7 linked regions of the Danio rerio genome follow. The protein of the gene in region 4 interacts with the protein of the main gene of each other region in a pairwise test. Links are inferred from orthologs where the notes say so. Each region holds a gene or a part of one and is shown on either strand. Other genes may lie near its edges.

Evidence for each region.
Region 1: the proteins of atxn1a (region 4) and rcn1 interact in binary tests that used the Homo sapiens proteins (3 or more experiments, as listed by UniProt). The link is inferred for Danio rerio from reciprocal best matches to the Homo sapiens genes ATXN1 and RCN1.
Region 2: the proteins of atxn1a (region 4) and eif4enif1 interact in binary tests that used the Homo sapiens proteins (3 or more experiments, as listed by UniProt). The link is inferred for Danio rerio from reciprocal best matches to the Homo sapiens genes ATXN1 and EIF4ENIF1.
Region 3: the proteins of atxn1a (region 4) and kctd15a interact in binary tests that used the Homo sapiens proteins (3 or more experiments, as listed by UniProt). The link is inferred for Danio rerio from reciprocal best matches to the Homo sapiens genes ATXN1 and KCTD15.
Region 5: the proteins of atxn1a (region 4) and otx2b interact in binary tests that used the Homo sapiens proteins (3 or more experiments, as listed by UniProt). The link is inferred for Danio rerio from reciprocal best matches to the Homo sapiens genes ATXN1 and OTX2.
Region 6: the proteins of atxn1a (region 4) and tceanc interact in binary tests that used the Homo sapiens proteins (3 or more experiments, as listed by UniProt). The link is inferred for Danio rerio from reciprocal best matches to the Homo sapiens genes ATXN1 and TCEANC.
Region 7: the proteins of atxn1a (region 4) and ccnk interact in binary tests that used the Homo sapiens proteins (3 or more experiments, as listed by UniProt). The link is inferred for Danio rerio from reciprocal best matches to the Homo sapiens genes ATXN1 and CCNK.

The regions. Positions count from the first base shown.
Region 1 is NC_133182.1:15,827,419-15,832,016, forward strand, and holds the start of rcn1 (reticulocalbin-1), read right to left. Parts: upstream 3,173-4,598; 5' UTR 2,979-3,172; coding exon 2,758-2,978; intron 1-2,757. UniProt on the Homo sapiens protein: May regulate calcium-dependent activities in the endoplasmic reticulum lumen or post-ER compartment.
Region 2 is NC_133181.1:43,485,630-43,489,728, reverse strand, and holds part of eif4enif1 (eukaryotic translation initiation factor 4E transporter), read right to left. Parts: intron 3,553-4,099; coding exon 3,425-3,552; intron 3,330-3,424; coding exon 3,055-3,329; intron 2,972-3,054; coding exon 2,773-2,971; intron 2,691-2,772; coding exon 2,533-2,690; intron 1,808-2,532; coding exon of another isoform or gene 1,669-1,807; intron 1-1,668. UniProt on the Homo sapiens protein: EIF4E-binding protein that regulates translation and stability of mRNAs in processing bodies (P-bodies). Plays a key role in P-bodies to coordinate the storage of translationally inactive mRNAs in the cytoplasm and prevent their degradation.
Region 3 is NC_133200.1:21,631,062-21,635,830, forward strand, and holds the start of kctd15a (BTB/POZ domain-containing protein kctd15-like), read right to left. Parts: upstream 3,239-4,769; 5' UTR 2,782-3,238; coding exon 2,770-2,781; exon of another isoform or gene 2,516-2,769; coding exon of another isoform or gene 2,504-2,515; intron 1-2,503. UniProt on the Homo sapiens protein: During embryonic development, it is involved in neural crest formation. Inhibits AP2 transcriptional activity by interaction with its activation domain.
Region 4 is NC_133194.1:34,709,847-34,714,478, reverse strand, and holds the start of atxn1a (ataxin-1a), read right to left. Parts: upstream 3,032-4,632; 5' UTR 2,948-3,031; intron 1-2,947. UniProt on the Homo sapiens protein: Chromatin-binding factor that repress Notch signaling in the absence of Notch intracellular domain by acting as a CBF1 corepressor. Binds to the HEY promoter and might assist, along with NCOR2, RBPJ-mediated repression. Binds RNA in vitro.
Region 5 is NC_133192.1:49,233,131-49,237,811, forward strand, and holds the start of otx2b (homeobox protein OTX2), read right to left. Parts: upstream 3,173-4,681; 5' UTR 3,045-3,172; intron 1,220-3,044; 5' UTR 1,085-1,219; coding exon 988-1,084; intron 361-987; coding exon 209-360; intron 1-208. UniProt on the Homo sapiens protein: Transcription factor probably involved in the development of the brain and the sense organs. Can bind to the bicoid/BCD target sequence (BTS): 5'-TCTAATCCC-3'.
Region 6 is NC_133176.1:39,099,641-39,103,633, reverse strand, and holds tceanc (transcription elongation factor A N-terminal and central domain-containing protein), read right to left. Parts: upstream 2,232-3,993; 5' UTR 1,987-2,231; coding exon 781-1,986; 3' UTR 607-780; downstream 1-606.
Region 7 is NC_133195.1:5,223,333-5,227,996, reverse strand, and holds the start of ccnk (cyclin-K), read right to left. Parts: upstream 2,881-4,664; 5' UTR 2,776-2,880; intron 2,079-2,775; exon of another isoform or gene 1,950-2,078; intron 1,833-1,949; 5' UTR 1,778-1,832; coding exon 1,578-1,777; intron 1,449-1,577; coding exon 1,367-1,448; intron 1-1,366. UniProt on the Homo sapiens protein: Regulatory subunit of cyclin-dependent kinases that mediates activation of target kinases.

The sequences.
Region 1 (4,598 bases), on a different chromosome or scaffold from region 4:
TTATCTTTGCTACTGTTGCTGAAAATGCTAAATATAGAAATCTAACATTACAACAGATCATATGTATCTTCAATTAATGATTCAACAATTCACACATAAAATTTCATGTTTCATTATAGGTGGATCATTTTTAAAAACCTAGTCAGTGACATCATTTTGATGGTTGTTTGTCGCCATCTATTTACTACACACTGTAAAATTCACCAGCGTCACGTTTCATTAAACAGTGATTTTAATCTTTACCATTAACATCAGTGTTTATATCCGAACTATTAACTGTTCTCCCAGAACTTTTGTGTTATTTAATTGTTTGTAATGAACTGAAAAAGTGTAAAACTGAATCTCTCGATCAAACGCAGATTTGAATGCAGCGCTTATAAGGATCAATAAACATTTGCAAATCACTATCATTCATGTTTCTTGGGTTTGAACGATCTTTTAACATTTTATTGTGCAGCTTAAACTGAATGAATTAATGCAGGCTAAACAAACAGTTACAGAAAACACCTTTAATTAATAGCCTAAGAAAGCATTTAGGTCAAACAAATTTTTCCGTCATCATTATATTTTACAAGGAGGCCAAAATGCTTACATACATATGATTTGAAAGACATGGGAGCCGATTTCTCTGTGATTGTTATACTGTAAATGTTGGATTAACCTACGATTTCAAAAAAAGTTATTAATCCGCGAGTCACATGCATTATGAACTGTGGGTTGTGATCCGTAAGGATTATGGATCAACCGATATCCGTTGCACCCTTAGTATATGTTAGTTATGCATAGGTTTTTAAAAATAGCTCGTATGTCCAGTGTTGTGTTTGTATTTATGATAAATTTATGTAGCACTGTGGTCCTACGAAACAACATTTTGTTCCTCTGTATGTCCACACATGTAGCAGAATGACAATAAAGCTCAAATTAACTAGACTTGATTTAATTACAATATAGTATTAATGAATTAAAGTGTTCCCAAACATATGCATCATTCCTACAAACATTATAGGATTTGATGGTCTGCAATGTAAAAATAAGAGGATCAAGTTTAAAATTGAACAAAAAGATAAATATTTTAACTTTTGACTTTTTGACTTTGATTAATCCAGATAAATTGGCAATTTATAATTAGATTCTTTATTTTTTCCATAGCTGTACACTGTAAAAAGTCTTACTATGATCTACTCAATTATTTTAACTTTTATTTTTACTGTTTTCACAACATTAAAGGAAACCTCTGGGCATTTTCAATCCAGTTTGCAAGAGAAAAAAAAAAATATATTTTTTAATTTTAGTTTGACAGTTAATAATCAGCAGCACAAACATCATAAATATACACACACACTAGAAAGATATAGATAATTAACACACCCTATAATTACATTTCTAATAAAAATTGATCAGATTTTACAACCAAAATTCATTTCACTCTCCTTGGTGAATAAAAATATAATCTAGTTTCCTCTTCTTGCCTTTAAGCAGGTTCTTCTTTCAATTTAAGTTGAAATACGACCCAAAGACATGTTCTTGACAGGAACTGAAATTCAAGTTACTACAAGGCTGTCAACAGCAAATTATTTTTATCCCTGATGCCACGTTGTGAAGTGCAGTGAGCCCTCCTCCCACTCAGAAAGCCAGGAGAGGAGATCTGGGGGAATGCCTTCATGTTTACGCCCATTTCACCCCATGGTGAGCTGGACAACGAGTTACGTTGGCACCATAACCCAGATACTGTTGACATGGCAGTGTGGCAACCACCACACTGGAGGGCATTTTATCGTCATGAGACAGGAAAATCCATAAAAATAAACTAAAGACTTTCTTTGGATTTATTTGGAGTATTTGTATTCACATTTGTTGATACATTCCTTTACATAACTTTATACTACATGTATTTATATTTACTAATTCGTTACTGTACATGTTTTTCTTAAATAGTATATGTGACTTTGGACCACAAAACCAGTCATAATTGACAATTTTAAAAAAAAAAATTAACATTTATGAATTCTCTGAAAGGTGAATAAATAACCTTTTGCTGATGGTTTGTTACAATGACAACATTTGGCCGAGATATAACTATGGAAATCTGAAAACTAAGAGTTCAAAAAATCTAAATACTGTGAAAACCTGTACAAATTAAGTTATTAGCAATGCATATTACTAATCTAAAATGAATTTTTGATGTATAGAAATGTATTTTTAATGTAGAAAATGCAAAATGTCTTCATGGAACATGATCTTAACTTAATATCCTAATGATTTACTTTTGGTCTATAAGGAGAAATCTAATCATGACCAGTATAAAGTATTTTTATCTATTGCCAAAAATATAACCGTGCAACAAAAGACTTGTTCAGAAGGTTTTGTTGTCTATGATCACATATAGTAGTAGCAAATAAAAAAACTATAAACAACAACACACTGTTTAAAATGTAATGTAATGTAAATGTAATGTTGATTTAACTTGTTTGAATATGCTAATCAGGTTTCAACTAAATTTAAGTAATAAAAACTTTAATACTATAGTCAGTTTGCTTGATGACAAGAAAACTTCATTAGATTTAACTATAAAAATTCAGTCAGTATGTGAATATACATATCCTTAATTTCCAATAATAAGACACGTTTTAATCTAGATTATAAAACTAACTTGTCTTTTTGGCCATTTTGAGCAGTTGTATCTGTCTCTAAACCACATACAGAGGTAATGCTGAAGTAAAGGTACGTTTTTGTGTGACAAAAACCCTCAAATCTTACCCTAATCTGGCTTTGCTTTCCTCCGGGGTGAGCTGGTCAAATGTGGTGGCCTCCTCTTTGCCCAGAAAGGCCTCGTGGTCGTATTGATAACTCTGGTTGTCTTCGTGTGTTTGTCTGCTCAGTTCGGGCTCGTGGTGAACTCTTTCTTTCCTGAGAGTGGGTTTTCCTTGCACAAGACTCGTGCAGAGCGACAAAAGCCACAAATAGGTCGAAACCTCCATTTTTAAAAGGACGTAATTCAAAGAGGGACCTCAAAAACTGTTAGGCGTTATCATATATCGCCAAAATCACAAGAAACTGCAGCTGCCAGAAGAACACCTTTCAATTGTTATCAACTGGGAGCGAAACAATCCCAGTCTCCAGAACACAAGTCGGATCTTTTCATTTTCGATTCAAACATGCCCGGCGGATCACTAAACGCCACAACCAAACACCGAATGGATGCGTGTCAGCGGACAGCCAATCATTGACTGGCTAGCAAAGAAAAGTGGAATGTTAGAAGCTCTGCTATTGGGCTTGGGGCTGTCTGTAACTCGAGATGGGCGTGGACGCCACGTTGCAAGATGACACGCAGAAGCGCCTTGGATGCATTTTATTTTAGGAATGCCATAGCGGCTGAATGCAACATGATGGTATTAGAATGTAAGCCCAAAGCTAAAATTATGTGGTATTATTATTAGGGAGTTATTTTCCAGAGATTTAAAAGATGGACATATTTGCATCATACAGCTGTAGAATAAAAGTGTGGAAATCTTTGATAAATAGTTATTTTTATGCAAAAATGCTCGAAATTACAATATAGTTATGGCATTAATACAAACTACTTTTACATTTTAAACTAAAACTACTTCTTAAAAACGTAAATAATATATAATATATGAATAATGTTTTCAGTGATTCATTTATTCATTTTCTTTTCAGCTTAGTCCCTTTATTAATCTGGGGTTGCCACCGCAGAATGAACCGCCAACTTATTCAGCATATGTTTTATGCAGCGGATGCTCTTCAACCTGCAACTCAACACTGGGAAGGTTTTTGATGATTTTTTTATTAGAAAAATTAACTATCTTTTCAGACTTGTTTATACTCATAGACAACACAACATGTTTTAACTTAAGAAAAGTAAAGAAATTATAATTAAACAAATAAATCTCTGAATGACATAATAATATTTTATTAAGTTAAAGAGTAACATGTTACTCTAATAAATCCAGCGATACTGAGAATTTTTAAGTATTTCTATGATCTACTCAATTGTTTTGGTGGAACTATTTTACACTTAAAAAATATTGAGTAAATTTTAAAGTCATGAAATTACTGAAACAAACTTTAAGAATATATCCTCTTTGCCCACACTCACAGGCCACTTTATTAGGTACACCTGTTCAACTGCTTAACGCAAATTTCTAATCAGCCAATCACATGGCAGCAGCTCAATGCATTTAGGCATGTAGACATGGTCAAGACAATCTGCTGCATTCAACCCGAGCATCAGAATGGGGAAGAAAGTTGATTTAAGTCACTTTGAACATGGCATGGTTGTTAGTGCCAGACGGGCAGGTCTATGTATTTTAGAAACTGCTGATCTACTGGGATTTTCATGCACAACCATCTCTAGGGTCTACAGAGAATGGTCTGAGAAAGAGACAATATCCAGTGAGGGGCAGTTCTGTGGGCGCAAATGCCTTTTTAATGCCAGAGGTCAGAGGAGAATGGCCAGACTGGTTCCACCTGATAGAAAGGCAACAGTAACTCAAATAACCACTCGCTAAAACCAAGGTAAGCAGAAGAGCATCTCTGACTGGTTGACACTCCTGTCAGCTAAGAACAGGAAACTGAGG
Region 2 (4,099 bases), on a different chromosome or scaffold from region 4:
TTGATAAGACTAGAACTTAGCCCATGGTCGGGTCTAGTCACAGATAAACAGAATAGCAGTCCTTTGTGTAGAAAATAGGGATGCAACGATTGTAGATTTTGGTTAACCGATTATAGTCGGAGAAATAATCATGGTTTCATGGTTATCATGCTTTCATTCATTTTAAAGTCACCACTAGTTTAGAAAAATCACATGAAATTATTGCTACTCAGTAACCACATAATACAGCACAAAATAACATTAAAAACAAACAATAGTCCATTTCTCTATTTTTACACTGTATATAAATGATAGAATAATAAATAAATGAATTTAAAAAATGTATTTATCTAATGCAGGGCTTAACATTAACTTAAGGGAGCACCCATCAAAAACGAATGAGCACCACTGCAAATTACAGATTTATTGTATTTTAAAACAGCATCAATGCGGACTAACAACAACCAGAAACAACTAGCTTATTCTGTTATTGATATTTGTGCAATAATTTCAAATAAATGTACAATAATTATAAAATATTAATAATGATGACGACAATAATACTAACATTAAATAACATTATTATGCTACCTTGAATGAGAGTTATGTGCTATAAAAAGTCCTGCTGTTACTTTGAGAAAAAAAATCTATGGTTTGCATCAAACAAAAATGAAGCACTGCAGTAAGAAATATACATTTTGTACTATTGTTTTTATAAGCATGTCACTATAATAACCAGAAGGATAGGACAAAAGAAAGGAAGAAAAGTCTTACTTCTACTACTCTTTAAAAGCTTCGGTGTGTCATTTTAAATGCTCAGTCTTGTTTTCATTTTTCCGTGTTTGTGGAAAAAAGCAAGAGAGCCGGCCCAATATATGTGGCGCAGAGCAGCAAATCTCACGATGACCACCTGCACAGTACCGTTCTGTCATGAGTCGAAGTTTCAGTATAAACTTTGTATAGATCTTTGCCGAAGAAGCTCGACTTTACTAAGTTTGATTTTACATTTAGCATCCATTTGTGCTGAACACGCAGTGAATGCAACGCATCGAGATTCGGGCTATTAGACAGCCAATCCACTCCGAGTCTTTCTGCACTCTCTCTGTAAGCACTCGATTAATCTCCGCTGGTGGATCAATATTCACCACATTATTGCTCTCATTGACACCAATACTTGTAACTTTAAATGGGTTTGCAAACCTGTATACTTTTCATTGCTTCGTCCTTAAACTTCAGCCGTTCCCTCCATTGAAAATAATGAACTTTCACGAGCTTGCCTTAGTTAATAGCCTCAGTCATAATTAATTCAGTGTGCATGGTTATTAGTCTCAGTGTACAAACTAGCACACAGTTTGCATAACTTTGTTTAGTTGCTGCAGTTTTGTTCTGTGCAGAAACGCGGTGTTGAGAAGCCTTTACGATTAAATAACCATGACGAATTAAAGCGCGGTTAATAGTGAAACCGGTTATTGCATCTCTAGCAGAAAAATGGGCATTTAGATGACTAGGTAGAACAGTTGGTTAAAAAGCCTAAAGGAATTATTAACATTTAACAAAAATATTTAGTTAAAATGCTAAATGGGGAGTTTAAATAGGAAAACAGAGGGTATCAGTAACAGTTCTAAGCTCAATATCAGTCAAAACCTACAACCAGAGCTAGGTGAAGAGACTGGAGTAGAAAAGATTTACCTGCCAATCTCTCCAACTCCTCATGTGGTGTGGACCGTAGACTGCTGGAGCGGCTGCCAGAGGGACTTCTGTTACTGGAGAACCAGCGGCTAAAACGGCTGGCCATGACTGGACCATCAGCAAGAACATCTTCAATCATCTGGAGGAGGAAAAAAAAGAAACCAATTGTTTAAACGGTTACAGCATAGAAGCAGGAAACGGCCTTGGGGAGTGAGTGACACTTACGTGAAGAGTGTCTGCAGACTGCTTAGCACAATGGGGTGAAAATGGGCATTGTGGAGAATTGGTTCAATTACAAGAATCCCACTTAAATTCCAAATAGCAAGTCTAATTTTGTACAGTCAAGATGTGCATCCCCAAAGTTTCAACAGAGTTATTACAATCCTTATAGAGTCAGATGGGCATAAATTTGCATTTCATTGAGCTTTCAGTAGAACAAAACTTAACAAATAGCTTGATGCCATACAACCATAAAACCAACAATTTCACATTTCTAACAGCAATGTCATCATCATTTGAACCATTCTGCAATCATCAGTACATAAAGTACTATTGTTACATCAATTCATTTAGTGGGCGCTTCAAAAGATTTATAATCCATTACAAAGAATCACATTAGAACATAAGCCAGAAAGAGACACTACTGAAGAGATGTAAAAAATAAGAGAACCTTGAATAGTAGAGAGTCCTGTTATAGGACAGGGACTGAGAAGAGTGATTAAAAGTCCCCAGAAAGCACCTAATAACCTCAAACGTCTCTCAACCTTAGGTGTGATTTGCTGTGTACTGCTTCTCCCTTTAAAGACAACCCAGATATTCTGTGCCAATCACCCATAGAAACATGCAGTGCTCCCCATATCTTACCGAAGCCAGACCAGGCATGGTCTTTTCAAGATTGAAGAACTCATTGAAGTCAAAATCTCCAGGGGTTTGCTCAGGAAGCTCAGCATGTGGAACCTCTTGATCAGCTCCTGACTCCCGAACTACTTCAGGGCCGTCTGAAAGTCCACCATTGCATTCAACTATAGAAAAAAAGAGATTGAATAAATACAAGCCCACCGATGATCGCACTTTTGTTTGAGACCCGTTTCCTACAGCACATGCCTTCTTTAACGGACTCTGGCCTCTTCTTGGAACGTTTGGTCCTCCGTTTGTCATCCTCCAAGATTTTGTCATCAAAGCCAATGAGCTCAATGGTCTCAGACTGACTAGTGGGTCCACCAGAGAACCACTCTGGCTCCTCTTCTGCATACGAGTCATTTCTTCTCCTCTCACTGAACACTCTTTTGTCTCCAAAATCTCTCTGTAGAAGGCAAACAACATTGTCACTGTGCAAACACTACAGGAAATAGATAAGAACCTCTGCATCAATTTCTAGCACAATACCCTAAATCGCTTATCCTTGAAGTCACGCTCTCGGTCTCGCTCCCTCTCTTTGTCAACCCGTGCATCCCTTTCAAAAACGCGTGATGCCATGATGCGGCCACTGCCGATGCGTCGTGCTCCCCCCAAACGGAGAGACTCATTTTCTTTGTTCTCCAGAGGGCTGGTGGGTCGGCGAGGGAGGGCGGTTTGTGCAACTTGACAGCCACCACCAAAACTACGACGTTGCGGACTTAGAACCACCTCTAGATCATCATCTTTTACACGTTCCCTGGGATCTGAGGAAGAGAAAGATCATTTAAGATAAACATCCTCCAGCAAACGGGTTTTAATGGCACCTTATTTGATTTGATGAAGCTATTTGTTCAATTACCTGCAATTCTTCGTTTAAGTGGCACCCTATCGTCTACATAGTCTTTCTTGTAACCTTCTGTAGGACAACTGGACTCTGAAGAGGGATATAGTGAAGCATGCCATTTTTCAGGATCCCAGACGCCATCGCTATGAAGGAGACAGTACAGTTAATGCATAAAATTATAAAATAATATACAAGCCTCAGATAATTTAAAAGCCATTCTAAGATGTCAAAATATAAGCCACGTTTTAACAATACTTAGTAAAGTCAAAAGACAAATGACTACAGTAAGTGAATTCTTTTCAATTAATTGAGAGGAGCAGTTTGTTATGTGCTCCAGAACCACTGGTAAGATTAGGATAACACTAGGGGTCCATTCTTCATACCTTGCTTAAATGATCCAAGATGATTTGGCAGATCCTGAATCTTTTAATCTTGATATCTGATCTTTGGCTAATTTGGATCAAACAAGTTTGCGATTCAGATCAAAATATCTGCATAAACTGATCTGAGATCACTGCATGTATCAATCCTTGAAATCATGATCAGCAATACAACGACTGGCTGATGGCACAGCAGCATAATGACATCATCTGATTAATATTTAACTTTGGCTTTTTTTGTGGGCTGCAGGCTTTTCACATTCATGTGTCAAAAGCATTAGGCAATTTATTTAGCTATACATTTAAAACA
Region 3 (4,769 bases), on a different chromosome or scaffold from region 4:
CACAAGTCTAATTAAGAAAATTTGCCTGCCGTTTTTTCCCCCCTCCTCCTTTTTTCATAGAACCGGAGGGAAGAAATGGAGTGATGCTTATTAGCGAGCACGAAAGCAAGAGAGGAGGAGAGAGAGAGAGAGAGAGAGAGAGGGATGGATGGATCCTAGTACTGTAGGTGTCTACCTTCAGGGAAAGAGAGGGGGAAAAGTGTAAACTCCTAATTAAAGATATTGGGTGAACATGTGAGACGCAAAACACCTCTTCTCCAACAGCTTTCTGTAAAAGTTTCTGCGAATCAACATTTTGAAACCAAAAACGAGGATAAATAAGACTTGTTTTCCCATAAGGCCAAGTATTACAATCTAACGGTGTTAAAAAGTTACTATGTAACATTTAAAAACTTTACATTTAATTAGAGAGTGAGCATCATGCTTGACTGCTGTTGTGGCATGAATCAACCTTTTGTTTGGAGAAATGAACAATCCTGCCTAAACAGATGGTTAAAGTCCCATTTCTGGAAGCACAATGCCTGGAGCAAAGTCTGCCCATAGTTGTACGTCAAAGACTTGTGGACTGTGTCTAAGCCTTTAGATTTATCTATGAAAGGCCAAATAATGTAAATGTATCCATGTTTTAGCTATAGTTGCATTTAAAGCTACTGAAATTAATAAGTTTAATAATATAAAGATATCTTAAAGACTTATTTTGAAACTAAACAGGATTTACTTACGAAAAAATGGACTCGCAGCATAACAGCTGACAAAATGTGTATTCAGTATGTTAGTGTTCATTCATTTGAATTATATTTGATTAAAATTCTGACTACCACCAAATAATTACATGGGAAAAATAGATTTTCAATTTCTTCTATGTGAAAACAAACAATCATAACAATCAAATGACTCTTAATTTGAGCTGGTTCTTATCATGAGTCACTTAAAAAGTCGAATTCATCGTATTTGTTGGTCAACAAATGATTTCTGACCTGAATAGCAGTGTCCAGAAAACTGACACACTTTTCACATTAGCCAAAAAACTGCTAATTTTATTTTGTATAAAGACATGAATGTTGGATAATTTTTATCAAATGTCATTAAAATGTTATTAAAATACTGTGAAACAATTTCAAGAATGCAAATTTCAAATGTTAAGATCCAAAAGACAAACAAAATGAAGCCCATGCATTCCAATGATGAACAAATGACTCTTATGAGTCGTTTTTTTAATGAGTCACGCAAATCTGTTGAATTCTTAACTGAATGAAAAGTTTGTTCATAAAAATCAATATTAATAATACTTGAACACTACGTTAATAATAAGCTACAATATTAGCTAAACATTTTCAATTGCATCTAAAACATCAGGTTTTATTTTTTATTTTTTTGTATCCCACGTGTGAGCAATAAATCATTTTCAATTTGAACTTAAAAAATTGTCTACCAATAAATAAACATTTCAAATAAATTTCTTATAAATTACGAAAAATCAAACACAGCCTGACAGGTTGCCTGTAGCACAACTCTTATGAGCCAATTCTTTTAACGAATCACACAAAAGATTCATAACTTAGAATCAACGTGTCAAATTATTCAATGAATGAACGCTGAATTTGTCAAGAACGGTTTGAATCAACATCTCAGTCAATGAACTGCAGGTTATTATGGTTAGTTTAAGTGAAATTGAATAATAGAATTAATATATAAAATTTACATTTTTGTTACTAAAAAACATCAATTAATCTTCAGAGTCACGGCTAAAGACATTATATTAATTATAAAATTGTTTACAACTTTTACAAGGCTATATGTTTTAATTTGTCCTTATCCATTCGTTCCTATAAGACTATACTGCGCCACAGTAATAAGAAACCCATATTTCAAAAGCAGTAGCAGTTTAGAAAAACGAAGTAACGACTCCTGGGAGCCGAATCATTCAATGAGTCACTCAAAAGCCTCATAACTTGGAATCAGTCAAACACCAAATGCTTCATTCAATGAACAGACATTTTCAGAAAGGGTTGAATCAACAACTGACTAAAATACGAACTGCATTTTTAGTGAGTAATGTCTAATGTTATATATATATATATATATATATATATATATATATATATATATATATATATATATATATATATATATATATATATATATATATATATATATATATAACGCTTCAATAGTATGAACATCATGTCATGACTTGAAAAGCTAACTATTGATGTTTGTAGTGAAAAGGAATCTGCCGCTACGAGCGAGTGCAAAGTAAGATCTCATCAAAGTCCGAAATAATAGTTGATGATAACTGCGCCAGGTCTCAGGAGTGCGTAAAATAGCCCTACAACTCTATGTACCGCACTTCCTGTACGCAATGGGCATACAGTAGTGCTCTGACCTCTCATTGTATACCCAAATCAGCCCTCCCTGATCTAAAACTGCAAAAGCACGACACACTGAGAACGAATGCAATAAAGAGAAAAGACTCGAGAATTTGACAGAATCTGTACCGTACCGTTTCAAACATTTTAGGATGTCCGACGCAATCTGAGGAGGATTCTCCGATGAAGCTTGCTCGTCCTCTAGAAAGAACTTTTGGTAATATTTTCTCCAAGAGCTCTTCGTACAGAATCCGTTCGGAATCCAGCGGAAATCTAACGCCGGTGCGAACGCAGCGCTATATAGGTCGCTGTGGCTTTAAAAACTCGCCTAAAACACAGACTGCTATAGACACTTTCCACAAAAGCTACACAGGGGAGTCAGTCAAGGCTGCGTCCTTACCTTGGAAGACATAGCTGTAAATGTATCTTCAGCCCTCTTTAAAACATGAGATCGATGGTGGCGTGTCTTAGCCTCGCTTTTTTTCTTTCTTGCTCCTTTTTTGTTGAAGCGTGAGAGTGCGTTGAAGGCACAGCGTTCCAGCCCGAATAACAGAGGACAGCTGAACAAGAATTCTTGCTCAAGGCTCTCCAAACGCCCCGGGGCAGGATTAGGCTACAATTAGCTCAACCCTGCCTGAGCTGGGGCGAGTTACAAGAACAACATTTGATCTTGCTATTCGCATTTGGGAGGATGCGTATGTGTGTCTTTTCGTCGCATTTATCGTCATTTATTTATTCATCGTCTGAACAAAGATATGATGAGCGCGCGCGCGTGTGAGGATAACGGTTTACCTGTGTGCATGTCTTTGGCTAACCTTCAGTGGGAAAAAGAAGAAGGCTGTTGTATTAAACCACTTTACCCACAAAATATAGCCTACTGTATTTTCTAACTACGAACGTCTTTTTTGATTGATGTTTCTATTTTAATGGAAGAATTAATTTGCTTCCAAACGTGTCTCTCGGCGCCCTAATAATGTTCTGCTGGCCATGAAAACTAAATGACGTATATCGATATGCATTGTGCCTCTGCAAAGGCGCCCACACAACCGCCTCGGGCCAAACGCGCCATTTCAATTTTTGCGCGCGGCTAGATAGAGATGTCTGCCTCGATGGCACACAGATTTCAGGTGGAAAGACGGGCGCATTGTGCTGAAAAGGAAAGGCTTTAACAAAAAGCATATTTGACAGTTTTAGACCCTTTTAATACTACTCTCCATCTCTTGGAAATGCCCTGTGCCTTAACATCTGGCGCCAACCAGTGACCAAAGTGAACGCAGCCTACAAACGGGTTTACAGCATTTCCACAACGAATATATTCAGAGTTCTGTATGAATATAGGTTTATGTCGACGCTTAGAAAAAGGTAAATTGAAATAGGCTAAAAAAATACAACAGTTTTAGAAACAGTAAAATAAAAATAAAAAAATACAAGCTTTAATGTTTGTGGGACATTTAAAGTCAAATGAGATAACTACACATTTAAATCATGGGTCTCAAACTGAATTCCTGGAGAGCCGTAGCTCTGTTTTGCTCCAAATCTAATAAAACACACCTGATCCAATTAATCAATGTGTTCAAAAGAGTCTTGATTAATTGGATCAGGTGTGTTTAATTAGAGTTGGAGCTAAACTTCAGATGTGCGGCCCTCCACGAATTCAGTTTGAGAACTATATAGGCTATAATTTAAATAAACGTTTCATGACCTAAAAGTCGCTTTTATGTGCGTTCTTGTTCTTGTTTGATATCATATAAATGCTTCAAGGACACCAGAATTCATATTTCAACACATTTGACACTTGCAATGTTGTCCCTCTGGAAATGTTTATTCTCTACCTTGACATCTGGCGCCAACCAGTGACCAAACCTACCACAACCGTTATTATTTTTTGGCCTTTTTTAAAATTTAGTTTATTATTTAATTTGCAATGAGTTAATGTATAACAGGATAATGGTTAAAAGTAAAAAACAGGGGAAAACACTGTAAAAAGATGCAGGCTTCCACACAATTCCTTCCTGTTGTCCCAACAAAAGTCGAATAAGTTAACATCATTGTTTTTGCAAATTTAAGTTAGTTTTACGTAAAACAATTAAATTGTCCCAAAAAGGCTTAAGAATTTTTGATTAAGCTCATTTCAAAAAGTAATTTGAACAACTAGTAAAAATATGTTTTTTTAGTGATAACAAAACGGTTCCTAAAACTGACTTTTTAAAATTAAAGATATAGCATTAATGTTCATGAAGAACATTTAATATGGGCCCTTTTTATTCTACAAGATTCTTTACTTAAAAAAAATATAATGTTTGCTGTTTGTTCAAACAATTAATTTAAAATGAGCTCAATTCTTGAGTTTTGTTTTTGGGACAACTTAATTGTTTTATGTTTAATCCACTAACATTTGTT
Region 4 (4,632 bases):
CTCTATTATTAATAAACATTATTATCAGGGATGCACTGATCGATCTACCGGAGATCAGTATAGAAAGATAATCACAGTTCATGACTTGATCGTACTCTCATAAACTGATCCCAAGTGTTTGTGTACGAATTTACACAAAGAGCATGTGGCACATGCACTCATCAGCAGTGCTACAACACATGAAGCAGTGAATGATGTGTGTGGGCATGAGTGATCTCTGCGCTCCCAACACAGCAGCTGTCCTGGGGTTTTTCTGCTGCTATCAATAGTTGGAGATGAGCAAAATACTAGAATGGCCTTGCAAATACACTTGTATCTAGGCCTTTTTGAGGTGAACTGAAAGTTTTGTGTTTTTGACTATTGCAAGTTCACTAAAACCTGGCTCTAAATATCAGGGGGAAAAAAAGTAAAACTTATTAAAACTTTTTTACTTTAATATATTTAATAATATAACTTGTAATATTCTTGTTGCAATAAACAGTAGTTTATAGGCCTATTTTCTTTTAGGAAAGACGTAATGGATTTAGAGTATAGGTCTGCAATTGAACTTCTTATGCATCAAATATGCGCTCCAAACTTTTTCTTCATGTTGATTTTCTTTCATCATTTGGAATGTTTTCAAAAAATATTATTATCTGTTTTATCTGTAATTTTCTGTAAAGCTTCTTCAATCATGTTTAAGGGATATATCCAACATGCTAAAGGAGAGATCTCCACTTTATCATATATGTATATATATATATATATATATATATATATATATATATATATATATATATATATATATATATATATATATATATATATATATATATATATATATATATATATAAAAGTAATGTAAAGCTTAAACCATCAGAATCGGTACTCTGTATCGGCCAATCACCATGACACACAATCAGAACTCAACATTGGCTGCAAAAATCCTGATCAGAGCATCCCTTATTATTATTACATCTTGTAAGTATTACTTATTATTAGGTCCACACAGAATCTACGTGCTCAGAAGTTGGCAAATTTCCGTAGATTTTTAACCCATCGAGTCTATTCCTTGTGCAAATGTGGTTAAACTTATACTTTTTAAATGAATTTCAGTAACATTATAAACAAATGTAAAAAGTTTATTTACAATACAGTTTGTAAAGTAATATGTTGCCTTTTGGTAGATATATTAAATGAGAGACTTGCCAATTAAGTGGATCCTATTAGATTTGCATTGTTAAAATTAAATGTTATTGGAGGTATTATTTTTATTTCATATATTAAGTTTTTTTAGTTACGATACTCCCAAAATCATTCCGCATAAATCTGCAGATTTTTTACTAAATCTTGCGCAAAAATAGCTAAAAATGTAAAGTGAGTAAATTTTTTGTTTAATTATTTAGGTTTTACAAAATAAATTGCAGAACTAATATGAACATGCAGTATACCCATGTTGAATAACGCTCCCACTGAGATAATTCACTTCCCATGGGAACAGACAGAATAATAAAAAAAGTTCTAAAAGAGATCAAACCTCAGCTACCAACAAAAAAGTAACCTAGACCTTCTATAAAAAGTAACCAAGTAACGCAACTAGTTACTTTTTTGGGGAAGTAACTTAATACTGTAATGCATTATCAGCAGCAGGGTGGATTACTGTAATGGCCTCCTCACTGGCTTTCCCAAAAAGACAGTCAGATGGTTACAGCTCATCCAGAACACTGCGGCCAGGATTCTGACCAGAAGCCGGAAATCAGAGCACATCACACCTGTCCTCAGGTCTTTACATTGGCTCCCAGTTACATTCAGAATAGATTTAAAAGTTTTATTACTTGTCTATAAATCACTAAATGGCCTAGGAGCTCAATACATTACAGATATGCTTTATGAATACAAACCTAACAGATCACTCAGATCTTGAGGATCATATAAACTAGAAATTCCAAGAGTTCAGTCAAAGCAGGGTGAATCAGCTTCGAGAAATGATCAGATGTGTTCCAACATTAGGCACGTTCACATCAAGACCGAAAACACATTTGTTTAGCTGTGCCTTTACTGAATAAGCACTGTGCTACGTCCAACAGATCGCATTTTTTTCTGTTTTTCTCTTCTTTTTCATTCTTTTATGACACATTTGATCGTTTTTTCTGTTTTTATTATTTGTTTTTATTTTCCTGTACTTGTTTCTTTTATTCATGTTTATGCAAAGCACTTTGAATTGCCACTGTGTATGAAATGTGCTATATTAATAAACTTGCCTTGCATTACTTTCAAAATTAACTTTACCCAATACTGTTAGTTTTCTTGTCTTCTACACAAGAATTTGAGGATTTCTAAATACTTTAAGAGTGACTATCCTGTCAAACAAGCAAATAACATCTTTTAAAATGGGTCCAGAAAACCCACAGCACTAACCTGAAGTACAGTTGCTAAGGATAAGTGTTGTGAGTGAGTATCGGGCCTGCTCTCTATGGATGGGTTATTGATCTGCGTAAAGAGGGCAAGTCAGGCCTTTCCCTGCGGGCCCTGCTGCTGTTTACACTTACTGCCCTAATGATGAACCACAGCTTCTCCAGCCCACATCCACATGCCAGATCACACACACACACACACACACACACACACCGCCTGCCTGCCAAAAATACACGCAGCTTTATTCACCATGAAAATGAGGGATACGGCATGTTTAACATTTCACTTTCTCCGAATGCCGACAGACCGAGTTGTCTGTACCTGTTTTCGCACCACACCCAAGCAAACTGAGACTATATCTGACTGTCAAATCCACGCACACACACAAACACACGGCGAGCTCAGCACTCCTTCCCCTGGCATGTCAGATGTTCATCTGTATATCAGCCACGCACTTTATGCCAGTCATCTCCGCCTGCAAGCACAGTCACGCTCGGCAGGCGTCTTGTCAAGTTGTATTCACTATGATGGAAGGACGTGTTGATTCCCATACCTTATTCCTCGCTCTATGTTCGCAGCCGCAGCTGTCTCCAAGTTGCAGAGAGTTTGGGATTGTCAGAGAATCAAGAACGTGTGCAAACTGAGGGTAATGGAAGTGGGTTATTTATTCCTGTACAGGTTTTATCAAGGCGTCTGCCCTCTACTGGCCACAAGGGGAGAAAGAGAGAGAGAGAGAGTGAGAGAGAGAGAGAGAGAGTTGGGGGGGGGGGGGGGGGGGGGTGGTGTTGGAAGACATTTGTACTGAAGCAAGGTAGCTATAATAAAAAAAAGTCCATTTCGTTTACTCTAGTCTACATGCTAAAGTTTAGTAAAATGTGAAAGGTGTGGAAAATATATACGTTTTGCATCAATATATAATTCTTAAAATATATTCAATTGTTTTAATAGCAAGCTTTCAAATTACAAATATAAATTTATTTTAATATTTAGATTTTGCAAGACAAAAAAATTATTATCATTAAATGATTTTTTCATTTTCTACATTTTTAAAAATGTAAACTTTCCATTTTACATTTATTTGCATATAACAAATATGTGAATAATACAAAATAATAATTCAAGTATTAATTTCAACAATACATATTTTTACGGTTAAAAATAAAGTATTAGTTATTTACTTTTACTATTAGTTTTATGGTGAAATATAAATTCATAAATATCAGTTTTTGGGAGTTATATCACAAAACTTTGATTTGGCAGATAAACATTTCAGTTAAATATTGAGATTTTTATTATATCTATATTATTAATTATAATATAAATATTTTTATTGTAATATACATTTTATTTATTTATATTTAATTTATTAAAGTTTTATTTATACCATTATTATTTTTAATTTTAATCTGAATTGTATAATTACTGTAAGATATCTGTTTAAAAGATGATTGACCCACATTGATTCATTCATTTTCTTTTCAGCTACCCCAGTTATTAATCTGGGGTAGCCACAGTGGAATGAACCACCAATTTATATAGCATCTGTTTTACGCAGAGGATGCTCTTCCAACTGCAACCCATCAATGGGAAACACCCACACACTTCCATTCACACACACATATACTATGCCCATGCAAAGACGGGGTGAACATGCAAACTCCACACAGAAATGCCAACTGACCCAACCAAGGCTCGAACCAGCGACCTTCTTGCTGTAAGGCGAGAGTGCTACCTACTGCACTACCGTGCTGCCCACGACACACATTATTCTGTGTAATACAAAATTGAGTAGGTCTACTTTAATAAATGTTCAGTCAGATTTATTGTTAACCTAAAGCAATGGTCTCATTGTCTAATTGGCTAAATTGTCCATATGTATGTGTGTGAATAGGTGTTTGTGGATGTTTCTCAGTGAAGGGTTGTGGCTGGAAGGGCATCGGCTGCGTAAAAACATATGCTGGATAAGTTGGTGGTTTATTCCTCTGTGGCGACCCCAGATTAATAAAGGGACTAAGCCAAAGAGAAAATGATTGATGAATAAACAAAGAAACATATTTTGAAAAAAATTTGAAAACCTGTAACCACTGACCTCCATAGCAAGCAAAACAAATACTGTGAAAGTCAATAATCTTTTTCAACATTTTTCAAAATATCTTCGTTCTGAAAGAAAGAAACTCATAAACATTTGAAACAAGCACAGGTTGAGTAAAATTTTGGCATAAGTATGCCTTTAACAAT
Region 5 (4,681 bases), on a different chromosome or scaffold from region 4:
GATGTGTTGAAAAAAAGGGGTTTTTATTATTTACGACGTGAACTAACGGCAGCACTATGGTCTTTATATATGCTCTGTTTGGTCTTCGCTCAAAATAAAACAAATGTGATATTGATAATATTTTAGTGCATCGCTCAGTTCATATAGATACAATACTTTTATTATTATTATAATTATTTAACTTTCTCATGAGTTGAAAGATGCGTACCTGTACACGGGACTCCGGCAAGTTGATTTTCAAGGCCACCTCCTCGCGCATGAAAATATCCGGGTAGCGTGTTTTCGCGAATAAAGCCTCCAGCACATCTAGTTGCGCTCTAGTAAATGTTGTCCTTTCTCGTCTCTGCTTTCGAGGAGTCGCTGTTTTAAATAAACAAAAGCATCACAGGTTGTCATTTAATAAAAAACGTCCATGCTTAGATTTAATTATTAAATGTAAAAAATACTATAAATATTACACATTAACATATCTGAATCGGCACAGTACAACATGTTATACAATGTTGAATTGTACATACAATATGTTAAAAATTGTTTTATTTAATGAAAGTTTCATTCAAAATATTCTTTAAGTCTTTTACTTTTTGTTGCTGCACTTTAAATAAAAACTGTGTAGGCATGTTTTTAGAATAAATATATTAGAATAAACACAATTTTAATTTACCAATTGCTGTGTTTTAAGGTTTACAGTTTTTACAATTTGAAATTATATATTAGTTTACTCAAACTCTATTTGAAAAGAATAGAACCGTCTCATAATTGTGCAAGCAACTATGTTTAATAATAACTTTAATTTTAAGAAGCCTCGGAAGTGTAAATGTGGGATTATAGCAAGGATAGCAACCAGGCCTAGTATATACATTTAAGCACATATAGCAAAATTCTTACTACATATACCTGAATCTAAAAAAGCATTACTGTTGAATACAAATTGCATTGCAATTGACATAATATACATAAAATGCTAAAATCGGAAGCTTTGCTCACCTGGGTATCCAACGGAGGGGTGCAGAAGATCCATCCCGGAGGTAGTTAAACTTAGCCCGTTGACCGTGTAAGGTGGTTGCTTGAGATACGACATCATGCTAAAGATGGTTGTGGGGGGTAAAGTTGGAGAAATTTCGGAAAGCTGGAAACCGGCTGCTTCGGTCTCTTTTCCTTAGCGCACTTCTGCTTTAGCTTGTTTGCGTCTTCAGCGGTGGAGGTAAAACTAAAAACCCTGAAAAATGACACAGATAAAAGAGAGACGTTCACGTAATTGCGGCGACGCAAATTGTATGTTCGGCGTTTGTCATTTGACGGAAACTGGGTTCCTTTAGCTGCGATGACTTATCGGCGAATAGAGCACATCTACACCGCAACGTGCTCTTAAAGCCGCTCCAGACCTCCAGCTGTCCTCATGAGATGAACGCAGCTCATCTTGACAAACGCCCCCCGTCCCTCCCCTTCCTCCCCTCTCCCCACCAGACCCAAAAAAGTAACATCCATTAATTGCAACAAGTTTTCACAAAGACAAAACTCCGTCGTTCAAATGTGCACACAAGCCAGAAACACAATTTGCATAGGAACCCGGCTAATTGTCTCAGGCATACAAGCACTGATTGGGAGCTATTGGTGGAAACAAAGGCCACTGTTAGCCTGATAACTAATGCTGATAACAAAAGCTCCATTGGAGAGGGACAAAAGTAACCTCTCCTCATATACTCGCTCACATTAGTCAGAACAATAAACTTATAATTATGTTTTAGTAGTTTTCAGAAATTAACTCTGTTAGTTTTAACTAAGAGTCAAATTATTGACTCAACTTTAATCTTTTCAGTGTTTCATCAAACATTTTGTAACTTGATAAACTGTAGATGTTTAGCTGATGTGGTGTAATTACTTTAGATATTAATGTATTAGAATAATAATAGTAATAGTAATAATAACCACCAAAGCAAATTTACTGAACGAAAACTTATTAGATGTTATAACATTTAAAGAAAAAAAAACTATCAAACTAACAAAATTGAGTTTCTTAAAAAAGGTTATTGAGTCAACAAGCAAAACTTTAGGTGAACATAAGTTCAGCGTCACCCAAAAGACAATCCAGTCTGAATAAATGTTGGAATTATTATAAAAAAATAAAATAAAAAAAACTTCTGGCTTATTATGCAAAAATCTATTTTTTTTATCCAACGGTTTCGCCTCCCAATCTGTCACTTAAAACAGTCACCGTCTACCAGTTGCACAGCCGCTCAATAGTAATTACCTCATCCAAGAATTAATTATGATAAATGTTGTTGTTGATAAATTAACGAGATAATCCGTGTGGCACGCGCTCCCCTAATTACTGGACGCTACCTCTTCAGCTGAACGTTTGGCCTCATTGATTCTGTGCATGACTACAATAAAAATCACACACGCGTGCGCGCTCGCACACACATGCTTTCTCATACACTTCAATGGTACCGGTGTCTCTGACATGATACATAAACTGCTAAAATTAAACAAAAGACATTAAGACTATAAATATCACATTTGTGTTTGAACAATATAAATCAAGCGGCAGGTAAAGACAATATAAATGCGGCCTGTTTTTGTATAGCTTGACGTTTATAATTGATATTAAAAATAAAATAGGCTAACTATATTGAATTATCTATTTTGTTCGTTCATTATTCTCTAAACGAATGAAATGAGCGATAAAATCAATCAGTTATAGCCGTGGACTAAAATTGTTTAAAATGAACATGCATCTACAAGTCAAAATGTCTCAGTAAATAGCTATCGATATTAAGTCGATATTATAGACTTTTTTTTTACACTAGGCCTATATTAATATATACAATGACTCGTTTGCCGATCTTTTAATAGCTTAAAAAACGTTTGAGCCATAAAAAAAAGATGCTTAGATTGTAAAGAAGGTTAATTCACCAATTAATCATGGTGACGATGATTATATAGTGTCAATAAAAATAATAAAAATAGTTATAGTCTACTATTCGCAAAGTTTAAGGCGTAATAAAGAAAACATACCCAACAACATAAGGCGGGATACTTACTGAATAACTGGATTCAATCCGATGCCCGTTAAAGTTTGATGTCCGATAGCGAATACAGCTCTAAATTATTAGAAAAATATTCATAACATCAGGATAATATCCTTTTCTTCAAACCGTGAAGCAAATGAGCTATGATGAAGCGTCTACTGCTAAACACGAAGAATGGATAAAATGGTTTTGAGAGATTAAAGCACATACGGTTATGATTCGCTGCTCTTCTGGGTTGAAGTTGCTGGAGTCTGATTTGTACAGCGCGCTGGCCAATGAAGAGCTCAGGACTGGAGTCTGTTTCTCTCGCAGGGCCCTTTGCAGGGAAACAAATGTCGACAGCTACTTTTTGATGCAAACTCTCCAGCCAATGAGAGCGAGGCCCTGGCGGAGCGCATTCTCATCTCTCACAGTGCAAGCAATGTCAGTTTATGTTGTAACATTAACTCGTAGCGTTATGATTAAAGTGGAAAGAAGAACTATTTCTTAGTTTTTACACTCCTTTCGTTAAAAATTGAATTTTTTTTGTTTGCTTGATGTAGAATGTGCAGATGCGGTGACCCCTGGTAAATAAATGCAAGTTTGTATTCGTACCACTCCAAAAAAGTTGCATAGGCAACAGCAGTATTATTTATATAATCTCAGACATAATTACCAATCCCAAGAGAAAACAGCAGACTTAATCTTTAATTATTTCACAAATATAACACCGGGGATAAATCCGGAGAAAACAAATGTTGAATACGGACGCAGGCAGAGCTCTTGCATTTGTGTTGCGTAGCTGGAGGGATTTACGGGGACTTAATTCCTTAAAACTGTCCTCTCGTCCACATGACGCTCAAACTGCAAGTGCTCAAGCTGATATACCCAAACGTATCAAGAGATGAGTGCACCGCATAGCCATGGGGCTAGATTAGGGCCTTTTATAAGACATGTAGAATACACGTGAAACCAGTGTGGAGTGGCGCAACGAGGAGGTGAATTTGGTACCTTGAAAAATGTTCAAAACAACACGTTGCCAATATTCACTTCGAGAAATGTCTATCTGGATTCTTCTGTGTGGGAGGAAAGCCGACTCTATCATAACAGCTTTAAGACTATACATTTAAGATATCCTGAGAAGTAGGGAACCTGACAAGCACCCGGGTGACTCGAGAAGCACGGACAAATGAACTACGGTGAGCAACATATTCACAAATATTTTTGTTTAACGCGTGCTCCTTTTATTGCATTTAATGTATTACACTTGTGTTTAAACTTAAAGCGACCATTTACAAAACAAATTTTCAACACATTTGCTACTTTAATTATTTTTTAAATTTCATCATCATTATTATTATTATTATTAGTATTATTATATTGTTGATGTTGTTATTGTCATTTTTGATTCGTATTGTTCTAATTTCAAAATCCAATTTTTTTAAATGATCAGATTCTAATAATTTTTTTAGTTCAGACACTACCATTTATTATTATTTTATTTATATTCTTAATAAAATGTTGGTCATTTTAAAAGGTTAAGGTTAGAGTATTTTGCTGTAATTCAGTATATTTCTACAAAATGACAGACATATCAAAACTAAAGAAAAATAGTGCTAACAGCAACAGTAACAATAAAAATATGATAATAGCCCAATAAATATATTATT
Region 6 (3,993 bases), on a different chromosome or scaffold from region 4:
ACAATAATACTGTGTGCATAATGATGAGTTTTTTGAATGAAGAATTTTATTTTAAATAGCCATGTTCAAAAACTTTAATAAAATTTGTCGAATTCGATACTAATTAAGAATTTACCTCTTTTTTACAATTGTTTTTACAATTGTGGAAATAACAGCATAATCGAATTTCATTTAAAATTTAATTCACAAACCTTAAGGACCTGTTTGTTTTTAAGTACCTTCTAAAAGTGTGGGAAGCTTGTTTTAGTAAAAAAAAAAAAAAAAAAAACTGCAACAAATAGATGACGTGTAATGTACAAAACAATTTGATGTGAGAAGAGTTTAAGAAAAAAAGTTTAAAAACCAGTAAATACGTATTATAATAATAAATTATAAATGTATGTTTACAGCAGTTCAATAGTTATTCGTTTCCATATTTACAGACTTAACAGTGACTTATGGAAAATAATCTAAATATATACTTTACATAAGTTTTTGGAGGACAAATAAAACATCTAAAGTCAACATAAAAAAGTGTGTCTAGCCATACTGATACTTAGATTAAAACAGACATTAATTACCTTTTTAATGGTTACATGCATCTAAAACCAGTTTTTAGAGATTATATTTATTATTCTTGGTGTATTCATCTCTTCCAAAACAGACATGAATGCGCATTATACGGTTCACTGCACCAAATTGAAGACTACATAATTGACAATCTTAACATCATTGTGAACAAAAACTTCAATAGTACAGATCAAATAATACAGAACAATGTTGCTATCTTTACGCACTTGCTCAAAGGCAAACCCAATTACTGTGGTACCACTGTTCTCCACAATTAGCACAGGTCATAAAAGTCATAGAATCATTATCTGCACTGCCACTCTGCACCCAGGATGGCAAGAAAAGAGTCCCTCGTGAGATTTGAGTCACCCTGCAATCCATACTGTCACATTGCCTGCAGCGAACTTTATTGGTAGGGGTGCCTTCAACTGTTTCTGGCAACTGATGCTCACTGATGGCCAAATTAGTGTAAGTTTCTCTGAGCTGTCGAAGTTTCTCACCTGCCATTTCCTCTACAGACATCTGGGCAAATGCATCTGGAGTCAGTTGTCCTGAAATAAGGCCTTGGCGTAGGTGGGGGTTGTTTGGGTTCTTTAGGTTGGCAACCTTGCTCCTAATATGAAACTTGAACTTATGCTGGTTTCGTCCATGAAGAGCATGAACATGCAACTCAATGTTCTCAGCAAGGGCTTTGAGCTTGTTCATATGACCTGGGTCTGTTTGTTGGTTTGTGCCAAGAGCCTGAAGAATCAGATGGACACATTTGGATCTCAGTGCTGTAGAGTCACAGTTAGTTGTGTGCTGATTTGTGTTTTGAGGAACTGAGGTTTGAGCACCTTCCTCTGCATCAGATCTATTTGATTCCACGGCTGGAGTGAGGCTCTCTTGCTCAAGCTGTGGCTGGAGAGATTCTGCAGATTCAGTTGCTATACAAAGTTTTTTAGAAGATGCATTAAAGCATACATTATTACATTTTCCCTGGTTTGCATCCTTTGTTATATCAAGCTGCTTTGTGTTACATGCTTGACTCTCGTTCACTTTTTCATGTAAGGGCTGAAATCCATTGGTTAAAAATGGAAATCCCAATGGTAACTCAACATTAGACATGTTATGCGTCTCTGACTCTCTGTTTGGCGTCTCTAATTCCTTGTCCTCCCGTGTGTTTTTGTCATTATTTTTGAGTAATATTGCATGTGACAAATTGTACAACTTCTTCCATTTTGTCAGCAAGCTTTTTGCTTTTGTTTTAGCACTCAAAACAGGACAGGACTTAAGCAGTCTGTAAAGAACTTTTACAATATCTGTTGTCTGAATCTGCTCTAACGTGACAGAAGTGATGTCGAGTTCAGTCAGTAATGATATAACATCTTCATAACTGCCGTCCTCGTGCAACCTTTCGATTTGTGTAGCATAATATATGATCTCTCTAGTATGCATGACGTCTTCGAAATTAAGGAAAATTAAGGAGTAGCGTTACACCTGGAAAATACTGTTCTTGAAGAATCCGAAGCGTTAGCTTAGTTTTCAAGCGTAATAAAAATATGTCCGCTAACGTTATCTGAATTGCAGACAAACACGTATCTTCTTTATTAACTAAGCAGTAAAACATTTTTTACAAAGTCGCTACTTCTACAGCCATGTATTTCATCAACGCAATGCAGTTGTTGTTGTTGTTCTTCTTCTTCTTCTTGCAAACTTTGGCAGCTTTACTGAATTTCCGCCACCTAGTGGGGAGGAGGGTGAGGGGTTGATATAGAAAGGAATACAGAAATAGACCAAAGCAAAGAAATGGGGGGAAAAGAAAATGGTAAGCTATTTAATCAAATACATAAATTAAACTTGTCTAAGTAACAATGTCTTTTAAGATACTTTAGGTATACTTTAGTTTTTATTAAATTAACATCTTTAGTTATTAAATTTATTAATTCATTCACTAATTTTCCTTCAGCTTAGTCCTATTATTCATCTGGGCTTGACACAGCAGAATGAACTGCCAACTTATCCAATATATGTTTTACACAGCTAATACAGCACCTATACACCTCATAGCTTATACACCAAGTGCATGTCTTTTTCTGTGGGACAAAACTGAAGCACTCGGAGGAAACCCACGCCAACACAGGAAATACATGAAAACTCCACACAGAAATGCCAACGGACTCGAACTGGGACTCAAACCAGTGACCTTCTTGCAAGGAGGCGACTGTGCTACCCGCTGCGCCACCGAGTTGCCCGTTTATTTATTTAGTTATTCAATTTATTACTTCTTTAGTGTTAGATTTAAACTTCCTGCATTCTTCATTTCCTCCATAAGCTGAGATCTTTCCTCATTATAACTATGACAATTAAAATAACACGCTCAACTAATTTTGGATTTCCACATATACTCCACATACCTGTATCGTGTTTGCCAATTTCAAACAGTGATTGGTTTAATGCAGTGAGCCCAATTCGGAGGCATGAGATTGTCATCCCTTCTTTTGTCACAAACCTGTCATACCCAACTTACCTCATTATTTGATACAATTGTCTTCCCCTTTCTTCCTGAGTCCATGTCTGTCGCCATCTTTTTTTTACTGACTTTAATTAAACCCTACATTTCAGATTTGCCCAATGGGACATTAACATTTTAGAGAGTATACTTTAGTGCTTTCTTTGCCAACTCGCACACTATTTCATACTTTATACTTTAACTCCCAAGTGATATATTCTGTACAGAGTCTGGAATATTTCAATAAGAATGTCCTGTCTTGCTAGATACTTTTTTCTTTTTCTTTTTAATTAACAATGCTTAAACAATAACAGAAAAGCTTTAATACTTTTTTTTTTTTTAATTTACACAAAAAGACTGAGATGACAATCAATTTGCATTCACAATCTTTTCATTCACAATCTTTTCATTCACATTAATAATAACAATACACCATAAATAAATAAATAAATGAATGAATGAATAAATAAATAAATAACAAAAGTTAACAAACAAAATAAATAATTGAAAAAGTAGCAGGGGAGATGAAGTACTCAAATTCTAAAACCAATATGCTATCACATATTCATCTTTAAATACCACCAAAAATTAAATTTTATGAATATAGAATTGTAATAATGTCAACAAGTTATTTAATATAAAGTGCTCAGCATACACCCCTCACAAATTTATCTTTTAAATTCACATTTTTAATATGAAGCTATAAAATATCATATTTGTGCATATACATTAGATTAGTCAGCACTGAAGCCAAATCTTTAGCTTATCTAACAAAATAACTTACGATAACGTTCCAAAAACTAGTACACCCAAATTGATATGATATAGAAAAATATTAAAAACAAATTTTAAAAATGAGATATCAAGAAATTGAAAGTTTTTGTTGAAATTTTGTAGGTTGAATTTTTTTATTTAATTTATTATTATTATTATTATTATTATTATTATTATTT
Region 7 (4,664 bases), on a different chromosome or scaffold from region 4:
TTGTCGTTTCACGTCCGCCATTTTCCATTGCGCGCATGAAGCAACACGCTTGCACTTTTCCAGCTGCACCTAGTTAATATCACAGGGAGCTTCTGTGATTGCGAGAAATGCAAACGGCTGAAGTTTAAGGTGGCGAGGCAGTGGCGCAGTAGGTAGTGCTGTCGCCTCACAGCAAGAAGGTCGCTGGGTAGCTGGTTCGAATCTCAGCTCAGTTGGCGTTTCTGTGTGGAGTTTGCATGTTCTCCCTGCCTTCGTGTGGGTTTACTCCGGGTGCTCTGGTTTCCCCCACAGTCCAAAGACATGCAGTACAGGTGAATTGGGTAGGCTAAACTGCCCGTAGTGTATGAGTGTGTGTGAATGTGTGTGTGGATGTTTCCCAGAGATGGGTTGCGGCTGGAAGGGCATCCGCTGCATAAAAACTTGCTGGATAAGTTGGTGGTTCCGCTGTGGCGACCCCAGATTAATGCTCTTCAGAACAGACGCGGATTCGCGTGATGGGCAGGGCTTCTGTCTGCCCGGTGACTCTAGCTTCATAGCTAAATGGCTAACATGGATTTTATTAAGAAAATAACAGTGTTAATGTGCTTTATGGAGACTGAAAAACAGCGTCAATACGTTTAGGGTCGTGTCTGAGTCCACTGCATCCTTTCAGAGGTGCATCCTGCTCTGTGAGCTCATAAACTCCTCCAGAAACTGAACCTGGATCACGGAGGCTTTCAGCGGTGCTTCTGACTGAGCCAAGCCCAGTTTGATGTCTTGTTGTCGCTGTCGCTGTCGCCTGGAGGATGTCCCCTGGGACACCATCAACAGGTTCTACGTCACAATCACGCCCCCACAAGAGCAAGCTCCTGATTGGTTAACGCTGCGCGAATGTCCGCTGAAGTTCAGATTTTCGAACTCGAAAGATTCTCGCGAAACGCTCGTTAAGCGCGTCAAATGTGCAAAACGCTCAAATCGCCTCGGGCGTATCGCGCCATTCGCACCGCGCCATTCGCGCTATTTGTGTCATTCGCTCCGCGCCATTCGCGTGTATCACGCCGCAGGATGTCTATTTGCGCGTTTGCATTGACTTAACATGTAAATCAGTCACGCTTGACGCGCGTACCTCGTCTGTTGTGAACGCAGCATCATAAAGGGACTAAGCCGACAAGAAAATGAATGAATGAATGAAGTTTAAGGTAGACTTCTATTGTAGGTACCAAAAGAAATACTACGGCAGTCAATGTTACCAGTTTTCAATGTTATTCTAAATATCTCCTTTTGTGTTTTACAGAGGAAAAAAACTCTGAAACAAGAGGAGGGTGAGCAATTCCTTAAAAATGTAAACAGTAAAAAAAAATATCTTTCAACAACAGCTTGTACTTACATATCGGGGGAACTGTTTGAAAGAATGAAACATATAAAACCGATGAAAGTATGTTATTCCTGTCGCCAGGGTGTCATAATGTCTTAAAAAATGGTTAAGGTCCAAATGGAAATCATCACACCATTTAAACTTCAGCCTTATTCAGTCTAAATCAATAAATAAACACACAACATCTTTAGATCAGTCTACAAATAGCAGCATTGAAGGATACAATCCCAAACGTGTTCCGACATCGAAGATGAACCTGGCTCCCTCTCGTCTGTACCGCGCTTCTGTGGCTGGGTCCAGGTCTGACTGGGACGGGGTGTGGGCCAGATCCTTCTTGTCCCAGTACCAGCATGGCTTGGTGTGGTCCAGATTTGTGGTGAAGCTTCCGAAGGTGGCGTTGGAGTTCTCCTTGCCGTCCTTCATTTGGAAGGAAGTGACGGCTGATGCCAAACCGCAAATCAGTCTGAACTGCAAAAGGCTAAAAACAACAGCTAGTTGGTTACTTCTTAAAAGTGCACTGGGTGAATTTTGCCAAACGATGTTGAAATTTGGGACTCTACTCTCACTTTTATGAGTTTCTTTCGTAATTCTGTTAAACAAAAAAGATGGTTCAGAAGAAAGCTGAAAACTGGTAACCATTGACCTTCATAACAGGGAAAACAAATACTATGGAGGTCAATGGTTACCGGCTTACAACATTTTTCAAAATATCTCTTTTTCTGTCGAACGGAATTAAGAAATCCAAACAGGTTTGTAACACGTGAAGGGCGAGTAAATGAAGACAGAATTTTCATTTTTTGATGAACTATATATGATTACTCAAAGATATGCATGCATGTATACACAATACACACATATATATTATGTCAAAAACTTTTCTTCTGGATTAATTACAGCTATAAAAACGAAAATAATGCTACAAATAGGGTTTATTTATTCTAAGCGTCTTGTTTAATTTGGGGTGAATTTTGACAGATTTGAAATAGCTCAGTTATATTATTATCGCATTCAGTTATAGTTCAATGGGTATTGTTTGGGAATTCACAATAAATAAGATAAAATGTCGTAATTTGTGCATCAGCATGATTAAGGCACACGTTTCTTAAATTTGCAAAAAAATAAGTTATATAATCTATTGAAAGTTCAAACATGTCAATCATTTGCTTCGTGAGAGAACACAGACAATTAAATACCAAATATATCATACATCCCAGACCACTCATAACATCACGTGACTAATATAACCGTGTTCTCCAGTAAATATGCTGTTAATTTAAATGGAGCTGTTTGATCCTTCATTCATCAATTTACGATGACATTAATAAACTGAGAGGGAAGCGATTTCAAAGCGATCGGTTTCAAACCGAGTAATTACTCATCCTTCGAATTATAAACAATAAGTAACTATAAAATAGTCTTACCTTTGCGATATATGGCACGTTTATGTCCTTAGTAAACTGGGGAGACGAATAAAACGTTAATCGTTGTCGGTCTCACATTCACGACATGGAGGCAGCCATTTACAGCACGTCTTCCTCTGTACTTCAAAGCAGCGCTCGTGCGTCGTTCAAACCACCTGAAGCGACATCTGCAGGCCTGGAGAACATACATTTCAAAGTCCTTTCTGAAAATAAAAAAGTACGGGTGTTTCTTTGAAAATTTACATTTATGGATGTGAAATTTTGTTTTTAAAAAAAGCAAAAAATCAATAATTGATTTAAAATGAGAAAGATCTACACTCAGAGAGTGACCAAATAATACATTTTTTGGGGAAATACAGAAGTTTGGAAATAAGAATTTTTTAATGAAATCGGAAAAGTCAACCCAAGGGCCATGATGGACAGAGGCCAGTGGATAAATTTGGCCAGGATGCCGGGGTTAAACCCGTACTCTTTTTCGAAAGACATTCTGGAAGCATGCTAATGGGACTTTTAATTTGCCAGTAACCTGGGTTAAGCGCTTCCGGCGAACTGTATGCCAAAGGAAAAAGCTGCACGTTTTTAAGGTCAGTTTTCTTTAAAAATCAGCGATCTCCACTGGCTGAGTGATTTCCGATATGAAGTGGGTCTCGGATTGTACTAGAAGCACTGCATTAAATGACATTTTCCCCGCCATGTCTTTATAATATGAGCATATATTTAACCCAGTATATTCAATGGAGCGTCTGCGCTATCCTGCCGATTCTGACGGGCGAGTGCGAGTAAAAGGCCTTTTGTCTCGTTTTACGCTTGAACAACTAAATGAATGCCAAAGTTTATTTAACTGAATGTATTTTAATTACATTACAACATGAATGCTGTAAAAGGAACCGTATAAAATGGAAAAAACTCACACTAACCGGTCACCGGAAGTTTATAAGTATATGGGAACAACACTTGCTCGGCATATAGCCAATTATATTCATCTGTCTCCATATTCTACTGCATCCCAGAATATTACACAGCACCAGAAATGTAAAAAAATATATATTGAATATATTTAATATATTTTTGTGTACTGCAGACGGCAATTCGCCGTGACGCAGATTCACGAGTCTGTGTGCTCCAATCAGATGAGCCCTCTTCAGCGTTCGCCATGACAACGCAACAGCAGTTTTTACGTGCCTTGTAAAAATTTGCATATGCATTCCTATAAAGCTCGTGTGCTCTCTGTCAGCCTTGTCAGTTCGCTCAGTGTTGCTGTTTGAACTTGACCAAGGTGAGTTCAATACCGACTTTGCGAGTGGAGCCACGCCAATCTCACGAAGTCCGCTTCCTGAAGCTTCACTCGGTACATAAACGCAACATCGCAAGGAATATTACGTGTTTGTTGCTCGAAATGTGCCGCCGAGCAACATCCAGTGAATACTGGCACGGCCTGGCGCCCGGTTTTCTCGTGCACTCCCTGGGGCGAGGCGACCTTTGAGCCCTAGGCAGGGAACAAACAACCCCCGAGGACCCTCAGGGAAACACGGGGGGCCGGTAGTGGGACCTCGCTGCGAGGGTTATGGTGGGTGGGAGTAGCGAGGCCCACTCATCGTCTATTTTAAACTATAGTTTCAAACTTTAGTTTACTGTAGTTTGAAATAGACACCATGGTAACTGTTATGATTTAACTTTATGCTAAGAGCTTAGAATGACCAAGAGCAACAGCCCCGGATTCCGCCATTTTGAAGTGATCGCGATCGGCCGTCCATTGGATCTCATTGCTGTCGCGATTGAAAGCTGCTGCTTTGTTTTTACTTAATTTATTCAAAAAGCGCGTTATTGTTTTCCAAATTGTAGAGTGTCGCCTCTTGGTGATTCTATGCTCTTTGCTTTTTGTCGGACTG